3 linked regions of the Coturnix japonica genome follow. The protein of the gene in region 3 purifies or fractionates together with the protein of the main gene of each other region. This does not show direct contact. Links are inferred from orthologs where the notes say so. Each region holds a gene or a part of one and is shown on either strand. Other genes may lie near its edges.

Region 1 (3,652 bases), on a different chromosome or scaffold from region 3:
TAGGCAGTGACCAGTCCTTACTTCTCATGCTGGTTTTCAAGGCTTGAGAAAAATATTCTGGTCTTATGCAGCATTAAACTGCAAATCAGAATACATCCGACTGTTACAGTTTAGGAAGAGTTAAGAAATTTATATTTGGTCTTTTTTTTTTCCTTTTTCCTTTCACAGAAGGTGTTCTGTAACTTCTCCTTGCCTCAGTTCTGTATCTTGTCTGTTGTCTTTTGTAACACCTGTCTAAATGTTGAGGATTTGGCATTTTCATGATGTGTATATGTACTAAAAGAACTGTGCTGCTTTCTACCAGTAAAGAAGCTGGGGTGCTCTGTTTCCCTTTGCTTTAATCTGCCAAGGAAAATGCATCATCTCCTTGTGACAGTTCTCCTGCTTGGCATGAAAAAAACAAATCTTCACCTTTGTCCTATGGGGATTTTTCCAACAATCTTCTCATGCACGTGCACTTTGGCTGAAAAGATTATGATGAATCAATGCTGTTTAGCGCATGGAAATGACCATTCTTAAAAGGTCTCATCCCTGCTACTTGCTAGTAGTTGCTGTGATGTGAATATTGAGTCTTTCTAGCATATGTCTTGCCAGCAAGCTCACTCTGGCATCGCTACGTTTTATTAAGAAGTTGATTTGGACATGGTGTAATTAATGTGTTGACTTCAGTCCCAGGTGGAGGAATACAAACAGCTGAAGGACACACTGAACAAAATACCAAGTTTCCGCCAATCTGAGAAGTCGGAACCAAACAAAGAACCAGAGGTGCAGGCGCCATCTCCTCACAGTGACCTCCCACAACACCACAGAGCTGGAGAGCATGAAGAGGTATAAAGCGCAGACTTCCTATATGAGCTGTAGGAAATGGTTTCTGTTCAGTAAAATACTAGCTATGTGCTTAACTTCCATTGGAAACATGCATACAGGACTACTTGATGATGCTGTTGTATTGTGTAACAACTTGCTTAGGTATGCAGAGCCAAGAATCAGGTACTGATACCTTCTGGCAGGAAGGGCAGCATGTGCTAAGGCAGCCAGTTGGCTCTCCTGACTACAGTTTCACTACTGCAGGTGGAAATACAGGTATCTGTATCTGGTGCTTAGCTCTCCTGAAAAGATGAAATCCCTAATATCTTGTACTTGTATAATGTTTTCCAGAGTGAGAAGCCAAAAGAGAGAGAAGAAATAAATACCCAGGAGAGAGATGACAGAGCTGAGTCTTTTCATCTACAAAGAAGGGCTAACGAGGGCCAGCATGCCAAAGAACTAAATATTCAGGAGCAACAAGAAGCTGGAGAGGATGACGATCAACGTGTTGATCAGGCTGAAGAGGAACGCAAAAAAGAACTTGAAGAAGAAGAAATGGAGCAGGCAGGTCAGCCTCAGCACTTAGAAGAGGAACAGGACCAAGCACCAGAAGAGCATGAGTGGAAGAAACAGGAACAGAAAGAAGAAGAAACCAACATACTGGGTGAAAGTCTTCCATCAGAGGTATGGAGCGCTTTTCTTACCTACTGGTTGATTAATTCACTGTTTAAATGGAGGCATTGCTCATCTTTTCTGGCCCTGGTACTTCACTTGCCTGTTCCCAGGTAAATTTAGTGTAGCATTTATAGAAAATTTGGGATTCAAAGCACTTACACGCTTAGGATCAGCACATGCTTACTGCTGTGCTTGCCAAATGCAGCTTAATTAACATTAATTCTGCTGATAAAGAGCAACAGGTGGAAGAAAATCATGATGAATCCTGTGTTCTCTTTTAAATTTGAAGCCTGTGGTAGGTAATGGAAAGTAGACAGTTTATGAGCGTGAATTGTAGAATAGCCTGAGCTGGAAGGGAATTGTGATCAGCACTTTGATGAGGAGGTGTTCTGCCATATTAATTTGATCAATCTTAGCAAATTACAGCCTTTCCTTTTCAGATATACCTTCCTTCTATAAGAGCATTTCCAACTCAGTGTTCACTGCCATTTAAGAGGGAATTCAAACTGCAAGGTGAACACAATTAAATCAGGGGAAATCAGTGTGGAGCAGTGGCAAGTCTTGTTCTGTGCAGCTCTATATAAAACCACTGAGTGCTGGATTTATGTTCTAGATCAGATCTCTAATGGAATACAGATTTTACTGATTCCTTTTATATTAATGAGTAGGAAAAATTTCCTGCAGTTTCTTATCTTCTTCACCATGTTCTCCACAAACACCCCTAAAACTCTCAAAGTTTGTTAAAAAAAATTGCTTTGAATTTAAACAAAGACAACAAATAATGAAATAACTTTGTTACAATTTTCTCCGTTGCATATAGGATCTGTATAATTTTCCCACTTATTTTTGGTGTCAGAAGTTTCTTCACATCTGCTTCTGATCACTGAATAATGGGATTTTAACCTGTGACTAAAACATTTCTTTGGCAGGTAACACCAACAAAAGCTGTCACAAAAAGATATAAACCAGCCTACGAACAGCAGCTGGAGCAGCAACAGCTTGCAGCCCAAAGAGCAGAGGAAGCCAATCAGCTCAGGGAACATCAGGAATCGCTGCACCAGCAAAGACTTCAAACGCAGCTATTACGGCAGCAACAGCTTCAAGAAAAAGAGCTTCAGCTACAGAGAGAGGCAGAGCAAGGAGAAAAATTCTATAAGAACCGACTGAGGTTAAAATCTTTTATGTATGTTTGTAATGGACTGGGCATTGCATGGTATGTGCTCTGGGCATTATGACATCCCTCACACCATCACTGAAAAGAGGCAAATCTAATACAAGTCTGGGCTGTCCAGAAATTAAATGAAGTTAGCTTTATATCCCCCTTTCTATGGATAAATATAATGGCTGTTATTCAGAGTGGGGGTTGGTTGGGTTCCCCTTTTACCATGAAAGCCTCTGAAATCTGGAGAAATGAGAGCACACAGGTTAGTATAGGGAGTGCTCATCTTATAATGGGCATTGTCTTTCAGGAAAGGTGATTCTAAAAAGTAGCAGCTAATATAAAGCTAGAGTGTCAAATGTTCTGGCAGGAGTTAGGAGAGACAGAGGTGCAGTATGGTGGTTTGTTTCTTGAAGCTAAAATGCTTTTTGAAGCTGAAGTAATGAATTTGCATTTACTTTTCTCAGTCAGCAGGCTCGTTATGATAACATGGACCATGATATTGTACAAGGGGAAGAAGAGCAAGGTATTCAGGAAGAAGAAGGAGGTAAGGTTCCCTCTGAACTCCCTTCCATAAGGTTTTCATGTTATTTTACATTCAGTTCAGATTCAAATGAAGTATAAACAAAGAAAAAAGAAGCAGTTTAAAACCCCAAGCTCAAGTAACACTGTCAGAACTGACTGAAATACGGGTTTCACTATAAAGATCATATCCATATTTCTGAAAGGTGTCCTTTTGATTAAGCTCCTTGAACTGGACTTTAAGTCTCTGTTACATTTATGGCTTTGCCTTATGATTTTCTTTGATGTCTTCAAATTTAATGATCTTTTAGTGTTAGTTTCCTTCTATAAGTAAAACAGCTCTGTTGGCATTACCTGTTTGGTAAGCTCTTCAGGGAGAAGCTGCCTACTGCTAAGAGCACATATGGAAGCTACTATATGACACTTAAAAGGGCTACCTAGAAACTGCAGTAGTACAATAATATCAAAAATTTGTCAGCTTATGAACAT
Region 2 (3,652 bases), on a different chromosome or scaffold from region 3:
TAGCATATTTAAAGTTAAATAAACATACAGATCCATCGCAGACAATACATCTGCCGTAGAATGTATCTCACAGGAAGATAACTTGCAGAAATCAAGTGGTCTTCCTTCAAGCGGTTGCTTAAAAACATAGCTTGGTACTGTGCATTCCAAGTAGATAAATTATATAGTTAAAGGAAAAAAAAAGAAAACAACAACTGAAATTTTGGACCAGCTGAATGCAGGATGCTCTGAAGAAAACAAGCTGTTATTTTAAGAATTGCTTATTATTATTTACTGTGGAGCAAGAAAGCAGTGCTAAAATGCTGGGTAATAATACCTTGTTTTTCATTTTTATTGAAATATAAATGGCTGTGAAGAACAGAAACTGTTTCTCTTCCATCTTTTAGTGTAACATGTACAGAAGAGTATGTGTGGCTGTTTTGATTTGTGGCAGGCATTTCAACTTAGTGTAAGGGTAAGGACTTAGTAAGCCCATTCATCTTGTCTGAGGAGGCTTCAGTGATCTCTGTAGTTAGGCTGTTTCAGCAACTCATAACATCTGTTAAATTCTTTTCATGATTTACCCTGCCAGTTTTCAGTGTTAGAATAGAGGCCACGTCAAACACCTCTTAGAAAAATGTAACTGTGTTGTATATATGCCACAATAGCTTGGAAATGCAGTACTCCAAATGACTTGATAAAATGTACAGTTTGACACATGCTTAACTTTTTTACTTCTACAGGAATTCTTTTTTGACAAAACGCCTTATACTATTATGTTTGGACCAGATAAATGTGGTGAAGATTACAAACTACACTTTATCATCAGGCATAAGAATCCTAAAACTGGAGAATATGATGAAAAACATGCAAAACGTCCCGATGTGGACCTAAAGAAGTTCTATCTGGACAAGAAGACACACCTATACACTCTTGGTATTGTTTAGTTTTTACAAGTTTAAACTAATTTTTTAAAATCTCTTCTAATTTAATTAATTAATTAATTAAAGATTAATTGATCTTTAATGTAAATTCCTTCAATGTAGTGCTGAAACCAGATGATACGTTTGAAATGCTGATCGACCAATCAGTCATCAGTAAGGGAAGTCTTCTGGAGGATATGATTCCTCCAATAAACCCTCCCAAAGAAATAGATGATCCTGCTGATAAGAAGCCTGAGGACTGGGATGAGAGACAAAAAATACCTGATCCCAACGCTGTCAAACCAGATGACTGGTAAGGAGAAAGCTTCATCTGTAGAAAACATTTTGTATGCAGGTTATTGCTTTATAATATTTGCTTGGCTTTATTTTGTTGTTTTTCTTGCTCTCAACAGTTGGGATATGTTTTACAAATACTAACAGTTGAAAAAATGTAACTGAAGTGGGAGTGTGAGGATCTGATCATCTTTTAAGGAAAGAAGTAAAATCTTGACTTTTCCTGATTTGAACTTTCTGTTGATGCAATTTGTAACTAAGATCACCGTAGTTGAAGGATTAGGAAGAGTGTTTTTCCACTACTAGTAGAGTCATAGAGTGGATTGGGTTGGAAGGGATGGAAAGACCATCTAGTTCCAACACCCCTGCTGTGGGCAGGGTTGCCACTGCTAGGTCAGATGTTGTACATATACTTCCTTCTTCCTGAAGTACTGTTCATATAGCAGCTTAAACAAAGGAAACATTTTAAGGAGAGACCTGATTGACGCACCTGCCAGTCCATGACAGCTATTTCTGGGCTAACAAGTGCCTTGAAATCTATAGTTTAAATGTTTATAAACGGAGAAGTAGGTACCTAATTCTCATTATAGGCACATCTAACTATGTTGTGCCCTTGAATATTATCCCCTCCATACCAGTTACAGTCCTCTGAACAGAACATTGGTTCAGAGTCGAGCTGATGTATTTCCTAACAGTAGTCTGTAATTGAAGGGATGAAGATGAGCCTTCTAAAATAGAAGATCTTGATGCTGTTAAGCCCGAAGGATGGCTTGATTATGAACCACAGTATGTTCCGGACCCCAATGCAAAAAAGCCGAAGGACTGGTAAGAATTTAATACACGTGGATCTGTTAATGTGCTTTGTAGCTAAGCTTGTTCTCTGGCACATTGAGTAAATTAGAATTTATCCCAGTCCCACTGTCTCTGCCATATTAAGTTGGAACATAACAAGTGTGGCTGAATATTTGTTGATTTGTGAGGCTACCTTTAGAAAAATATGCAAGTGTCAATAATTGCCTTGTATTCTGAAGAGCTGTAAACAGTAAGGAGCTATTTGAAAGAACCTACCATGGGGATAAGCAGCAAAGCAGTTGAAGCTGATGCTTGAAGTCATGTAGTAGTCCTAAAGCATGTTATATGGAAATGATGCAAGCTGCCTGCAGACGTAGGAGTATGATTGCATTTAACCATGCTCTAGTAGTTACGAATGTGTGGCCTTAAAGCATTCAGTCCTCTGGAAAATGTACATTGCAGTTAGATCAGCCCACTGAACTTTAGCCAAATTCTGAGGTTGTTACAGCAAAATACATACGGATCCCAAGTTATACTGAATGTTAGTGTTCTGATCAGACCAACCTGCAATTGGTTATTTGTACCTTTCTTTCTGTAGGGATGAAGAAATGGATGGGGAGTGGGAAGCTCCTCAGGTCCCCAATCCAAAGTGTGCAACTGCACCTGGTTGTGGACTGTGGGTGCGTCCCATGAAGAACAACCCCAAGTATAAAGGAAAATGGAAAGCACCTATGATAGTTAATCCTAATTATCAGGTACTAGCAATATTGTAGGTTATTATTTAAGAGATGTGGAGCTCAACCAAGCAGAAAAGTAAAATTAGTACATATGTCTGGCCCTTCATACTGAACCTGATATGGTCACTTACTACTATAACCCAATATGGAGGAAAAAGGTTTGAATTTAAGAGAAATCTGTCTGTCCTAAGCCAAAAATCTGAGACCTATCTGCCAAAATTCCATAGGTTGTTTCCAGGTCTGTTTTCCTGAAGTTCAGAGGCTTACCCTTTGCTTTTTAAATCATGTAGTTGAAATAATCAGAAAGTCTTAATTGCATTAAAATGTATTTTCCTGTTTTGTTGTGAGTGGGTTTTTTTATGTTTATTTTTGTGGTATAGATAATATTATTACATGTTTTTCTTTCCCCATAAAAGGGAATCTGGAGTCCTCGGAAAATACCTAACCCAGACTATTTTGAAGATCCTCACCCATTTGAGATGACACCTATCAGTGCTATTGGTTTAGAACTCTGGTCTATGACATCTGATATCTACTTTGATAACTTCATAATATGCTCAGAAAAAGAAGTCGCTGATCGTTGGGCAGCAGACGGTTGGGGCTTGAAGAAATTAGTAGCAAGTGCTAATGAGGTATCAATTTTATTATATTCTTGATAACCAGAAGTAGCAAGGAAGGAGTTCTGTTGGAATAATTTTCTGTAATATAATTATTCTGTGATTGATAATCTTACAGAATAGCTATGATATTTCCCTGATCAATACTGGACTGAAATTAAAAGGGTACAACATTTTACTCAAGTATCTTACAAGAAATGTAGCAACATTTCATTGTAGTTGATGCACCTTCCACTATTAATGGTGGTACTACAATTCAGTGCCTGTCAGCAGATGGAAGCTGATTTATTTGCAACCAGGCCTCTTTATA
Region 3 (3,652 bases):
CATATTGCTTGGTTTGTTTTTTCCTCCTAGTTTGTTTTTTCTTTCTCTTTTTTTTTTTTATTATTATTTAAATCTCCCCAGACCCTTCTCTCCCCAGCACAGAACAGGTTTGCATGTAATAACAGTAACATTCATAGATTGGCGTAAGAGGAGGAAAGTGGAAGGAAATTACATGTTTTCTCCCCTCCCATAATATCTGAGTGCTTTCAAATGACTAGGTTCCAAGAACATACAGCAGCTTTTCAAGGAGCACTAATGATTATAGCCAGCCCTGGTTTGTCCAATACATGAAAAAGGGGGAGGAAAGAAAAAAAAGCTCCTGCACTTGAAACAACTGAACATTAAACAGTAATTTCACTGGGAAATTTCAATCACTAGAACTGTGGGACACCGAGAAGCTGGGAAATCAGCACGGCCGTGTGCATTGCAGCAGAGCTGTGCAGAATTCTGCACTCTGTTACAAGAGCTGCAGCCCAATGGGATGGAAAGGGCACCATGTAAGTGGTGACCCTCAGGGATGATGTGCCTTCCCTACAAGGGCAGGGATGGCCCTTCCTGCAGCCTCTGCATGGCCCTGGGAGCTGCCAGCTTGCAGAGAAATTGCTCATCTTCAGGCTGTGTCCATGCTCACCAATGCATCTCCATTGGAGATGGAGGAAGTGGTCAGTAGGACCTAAGCAAGGAGCCCCCCAGCACCAGCAGAAGATGCTGGGTGACCTACTGCAAGGCTGGCAGAGTTGCTTCAGCTCATCTTGCTTTTCAACTGCTGGTTAAATAGAGAGCAGCCAAAAACTCAAGTGAGACTCAGCCAGAAAAAGCAGGAACACCTCCTGTGCTGATACCTAAGGACCTGGGGAGCTCAGAGAGCTGTGATCTCCAGCTCCCTCCTTCCAGATCATTGTAGCTCCACATCATCCTATTGCACAAGAGTCCTGTACACCACCTTGCCACATCCTGGGGTCCTCATCCATCCTACCACGTATCCTCCTCAAAACACAGCACACAACGCTCTCACCTCGTACTCCTGCTTGAAGCCATAGCCTTCTGCTGTCTTCATCTGGTTGATGTGCTGGAGGAGGTCAGCCACACGTACGGCAGGGTGCAGCTGCCCAGTGTGATATGGGGACCCTTTGCGACCACATTGGCGGCGGGGGGACCCCCCCAGCAGGCTGCTGGACTCATTGACCACACTGCTGCGCTGGTCACCTGCAAACCAGGAGGGATAAGGAGATAATCAGGGTCTGAGGCACTACTCCCACATCAGCCCCACTCACCCACAGAGCAAGGACAAGGAAGGTCTGTTGGGGCTGCCCCACCACTGGTCTCTCTCAGAGTGACAAAGGTGGTCCAGACCCCACCATACTCTCTGCAGCTGTTCCTGCAACCCAAAGCCCACAAGGGCCATTACAGCCTCTTAGGACCACAGCACAACTCTTAGAAACCAGTAGGCAAGATCTTAAGAGGGCTCGCTGCTTATTTCTCATTGATTCAAGCGCTTACCTCCCATCCAGACCAGTACGAGCCACATGCATAAATATTCACTTAAAGTCCTGACTCAAAGAACTGCCTTGCCAAAGTCCCCAGCCCAGCCTAATGGTTAATTTTCCTCACTGCTGGATACCATCCTCTTACTTCTAGCACTGACACAAATGGGACTTGCTGTGGGTTAATGCATGAGCTTACGCAGTGTTTTACCCAGCTTATGTCAGCGCCATATAATTACTGGCACAGCTCACCTATGTTCACCCCACAGGGCTGCTGCACGGCCAGCATACATGATCCTGAAATTTGGGTTTGCACGAGAACTGATGTTCCTCACTGCTACCAAGGAGGTGGCTGCTGCAGATCTCACAGTGCCAGCAAGCAGCTCTGCTGTGTCAGTGCAGCCCTGGATGTGGTTTCCCTAACAACACTTATAAAGCCACCTATGCTGGCTTGCTCAGAGCTGCCAGGCCTTTTTTTGGGGGCGAGGGGGGTCTGCTCTAATGCAAGGATCAGCCTCTCACTTGTGCTGGCAGCTCTGGCTCCTCATGCAGCCCATACAGAGCCTTTCTCCAACAAGTTTAATAGGAAAAGAACTGCGGGTGTTGCAGTGTGCCAGCAGGTCCATGCAGGCTGGGATCTGCACGGTCACCCACACTGAGGACCCTTTATGAGAAGTGTTCCTGGCTTTGTTTAAATGCAAGAAAACTGAGGCAAGGACCAGCAGAGGGACAGGGAGCAGCAGAGCAGGACAACAACCCCAGCCCAGGTGGGAGCAAGATTCAGTTCTACAGCCCCACTCCCATAAGAAACACAGCATGGCTGGCTATTCTAGCTCCAAGATGGAGAAAAATCTCAGTACAAACCAGCCTGGCTATGAGTGTTTCGAGGAGCCCCAGTAGGACAGTAACTGAAAAATAATACGCTTATACAGATGTATTAAAAGGAGGCAAAGTTTGCCCTCTGGGCTTCTACTGTCTGCGAGACAATGCCAGGAATCATATTAATCCAGCATCGGTGGAGAAGAGCTGTGTGTAAAGCAGCATCTTGGAGTTACTGTAACAGATGTTATTAGCATATGTTTGAAACTGAGGCACTGAACGAGTTATTTTACAACTAAATCAGTGCCGAGTCGCATACTCCAGTGGGTGTTCAGTTATCAGTCTCCCTCTGATAGGAAGGCTGTGGCTCTTTAACCCTACAAACCCCACAGCCGTGCACAGCTGTGGTCAGAGCCAAAGGGCCAAGCGGGGCATACAGCTGCTCTGACACTTAAAGCAATGGCAATGCTGCAGCTCCCCATCCTTACCACGATTGCTGTAGTTGTGGGTGTCCATGAAGGACAGCCCCAGCCTCTCATCCTCCTGCAGGGTGCTCTGGTCCGTGAAGCTCCGGTCGATGGCACTCATCATGTGTGTCTTCTCGTGGCGGTAATTAATTGTTGCTTTGGTCATGTTGACAGGTTTGCTGCAGAGAGATGCAAAAGGACAGCAATGAACCAGCAGCACTGCCAGACCCCAGACCAGCTCCCCAAGGTTTGGTATATTTGGGGCCATAAGAAAGCTTATTCCCCCCGGGCAGGACCAGCCCTGAGCCCACACCACCTGAAGGACCTCACATGAGTGGGGAAAAGACACTGCAAAATGCTGCCAAAACCCTGAACTCAAGTAGAATTGGCCACCTCAGCAGGAGCACAGCCATGCTGGGTATCTGACCCTTTCTGCTTACACTGCCTTCCGTCCTAATGAGCTCAGAAGCATTATTTTCCCAAGCCAAAGAGGCCCTTAAGATGTACTTGACAGAGAAAAGGACTTGTTGGAGTGGAGAGCAGCAGAGCAAGGGGGGCAGGAGGGAAGGAGGAGAGAGAGAATGACAATTACTTACGGGTAATAGGAGTAAGAATAGTAGTTCCTCCTGGCAAGCGTGCAAACAAAGAGAACGGCACAAATTGCACAAGCAGCTTTTCTTTGATGGAGAAAGTGGGGCTCTAGGGCAGCGTGCAGGGAAGGAGAGCACAGAAAGGCAGGCACCCGCACACCACGAGCATCTCAGAAGGGTCCCCATCCTCTCAGCCCACCCACACAAGCCACCCTCCTTCTGCACTGCCTCAAGTCATGGGATGAAAGCTGAGGGCAGCTCCTCCCTGTCTCTGGCAGCAAGCCTTGGAGAG

Evidence for each region.
Region 1: the proteins of PTPRU (region 3) and GOLIM4 purify together in Homo sapiens (affinity purification with mass spectrometry; 3 studies listed by BioGRID and IntAct, counting the BioPlex papers as one, with this or other methods). This does not show direct contact. The link is inferred for Coturnix japonica from reciprocal best matches to the Homo sapiens genes PTPRU and GOLIM4.
Region 2: the proteins of PTPRU (region 3) and CLGN purify together in Homo sapiens (affinity purification with mass spectrometry; 3 studies listed by BioGRID and IntAct, with this or other methods). This does not show direct contact. The link is inferred for Coturnix japonica from reciprocal best matches to the Homo sapiens genes PTPRU and CLGN.

The regions. Positions count from the first base shown.
Region 1 is NC_029524.1:18,193,325-18,196,976, forward strand, and holds part of GOLIM4 (Golgi integral membrane protein 4), read left to right. Parts: intron 1-669; coding exon 670-828; intron 829-1,158; coding exon 1,159-1,491; intron 1,492-2,411; coding exon 2,412-2,695; intron 2,696-3,108; coding exon 3,109-3,188; intron 3,189-3,641; coding exon 3,642-3,652. UniProt on the Homo sapiens protein: Plays a role in endosome to Golgi protein trafficking; mediates protein transport along the late endosome-bypass pathway from the early endosome to the Golgi.
Region 2 is NC_029519.1:26,014,904-26,018,555, reverse strand, and holds part of CLGN (calmegin), read left to right. Parts: intron 1-722; coding exon 723-915; intron 916-1,025; coding exon 1,026-1,215; intron 1,216-1,907; coding exon 1,908-2,021; intron 2,022-2,586; coding exon 2,587-2,743; intron 2,744-3,141; coding exon 3,142-3,357; intron 3,358-3,652. UniProt on the Homo sapiens protein: Functions during spermatogenesis as a chaperone for a range of client proteins that are important for sperm adhesion onto the egg zona pellucida and for subsequent penetration of the zona pellucida.
Region 3 is NC_029538.1:2,489,834-2,493,485, reverse strand, and holds part of PTPRU (receptor-type tyrosine-protein phosphatase U), read right to left. Parts: intron 3,397-3,652; coding exon 3,367-3,396; intron 2,950-3,366; coding exon 2,792-2,949; intron 1,207-2,791; coding exon 1,016-1,206; intron 1-1,015.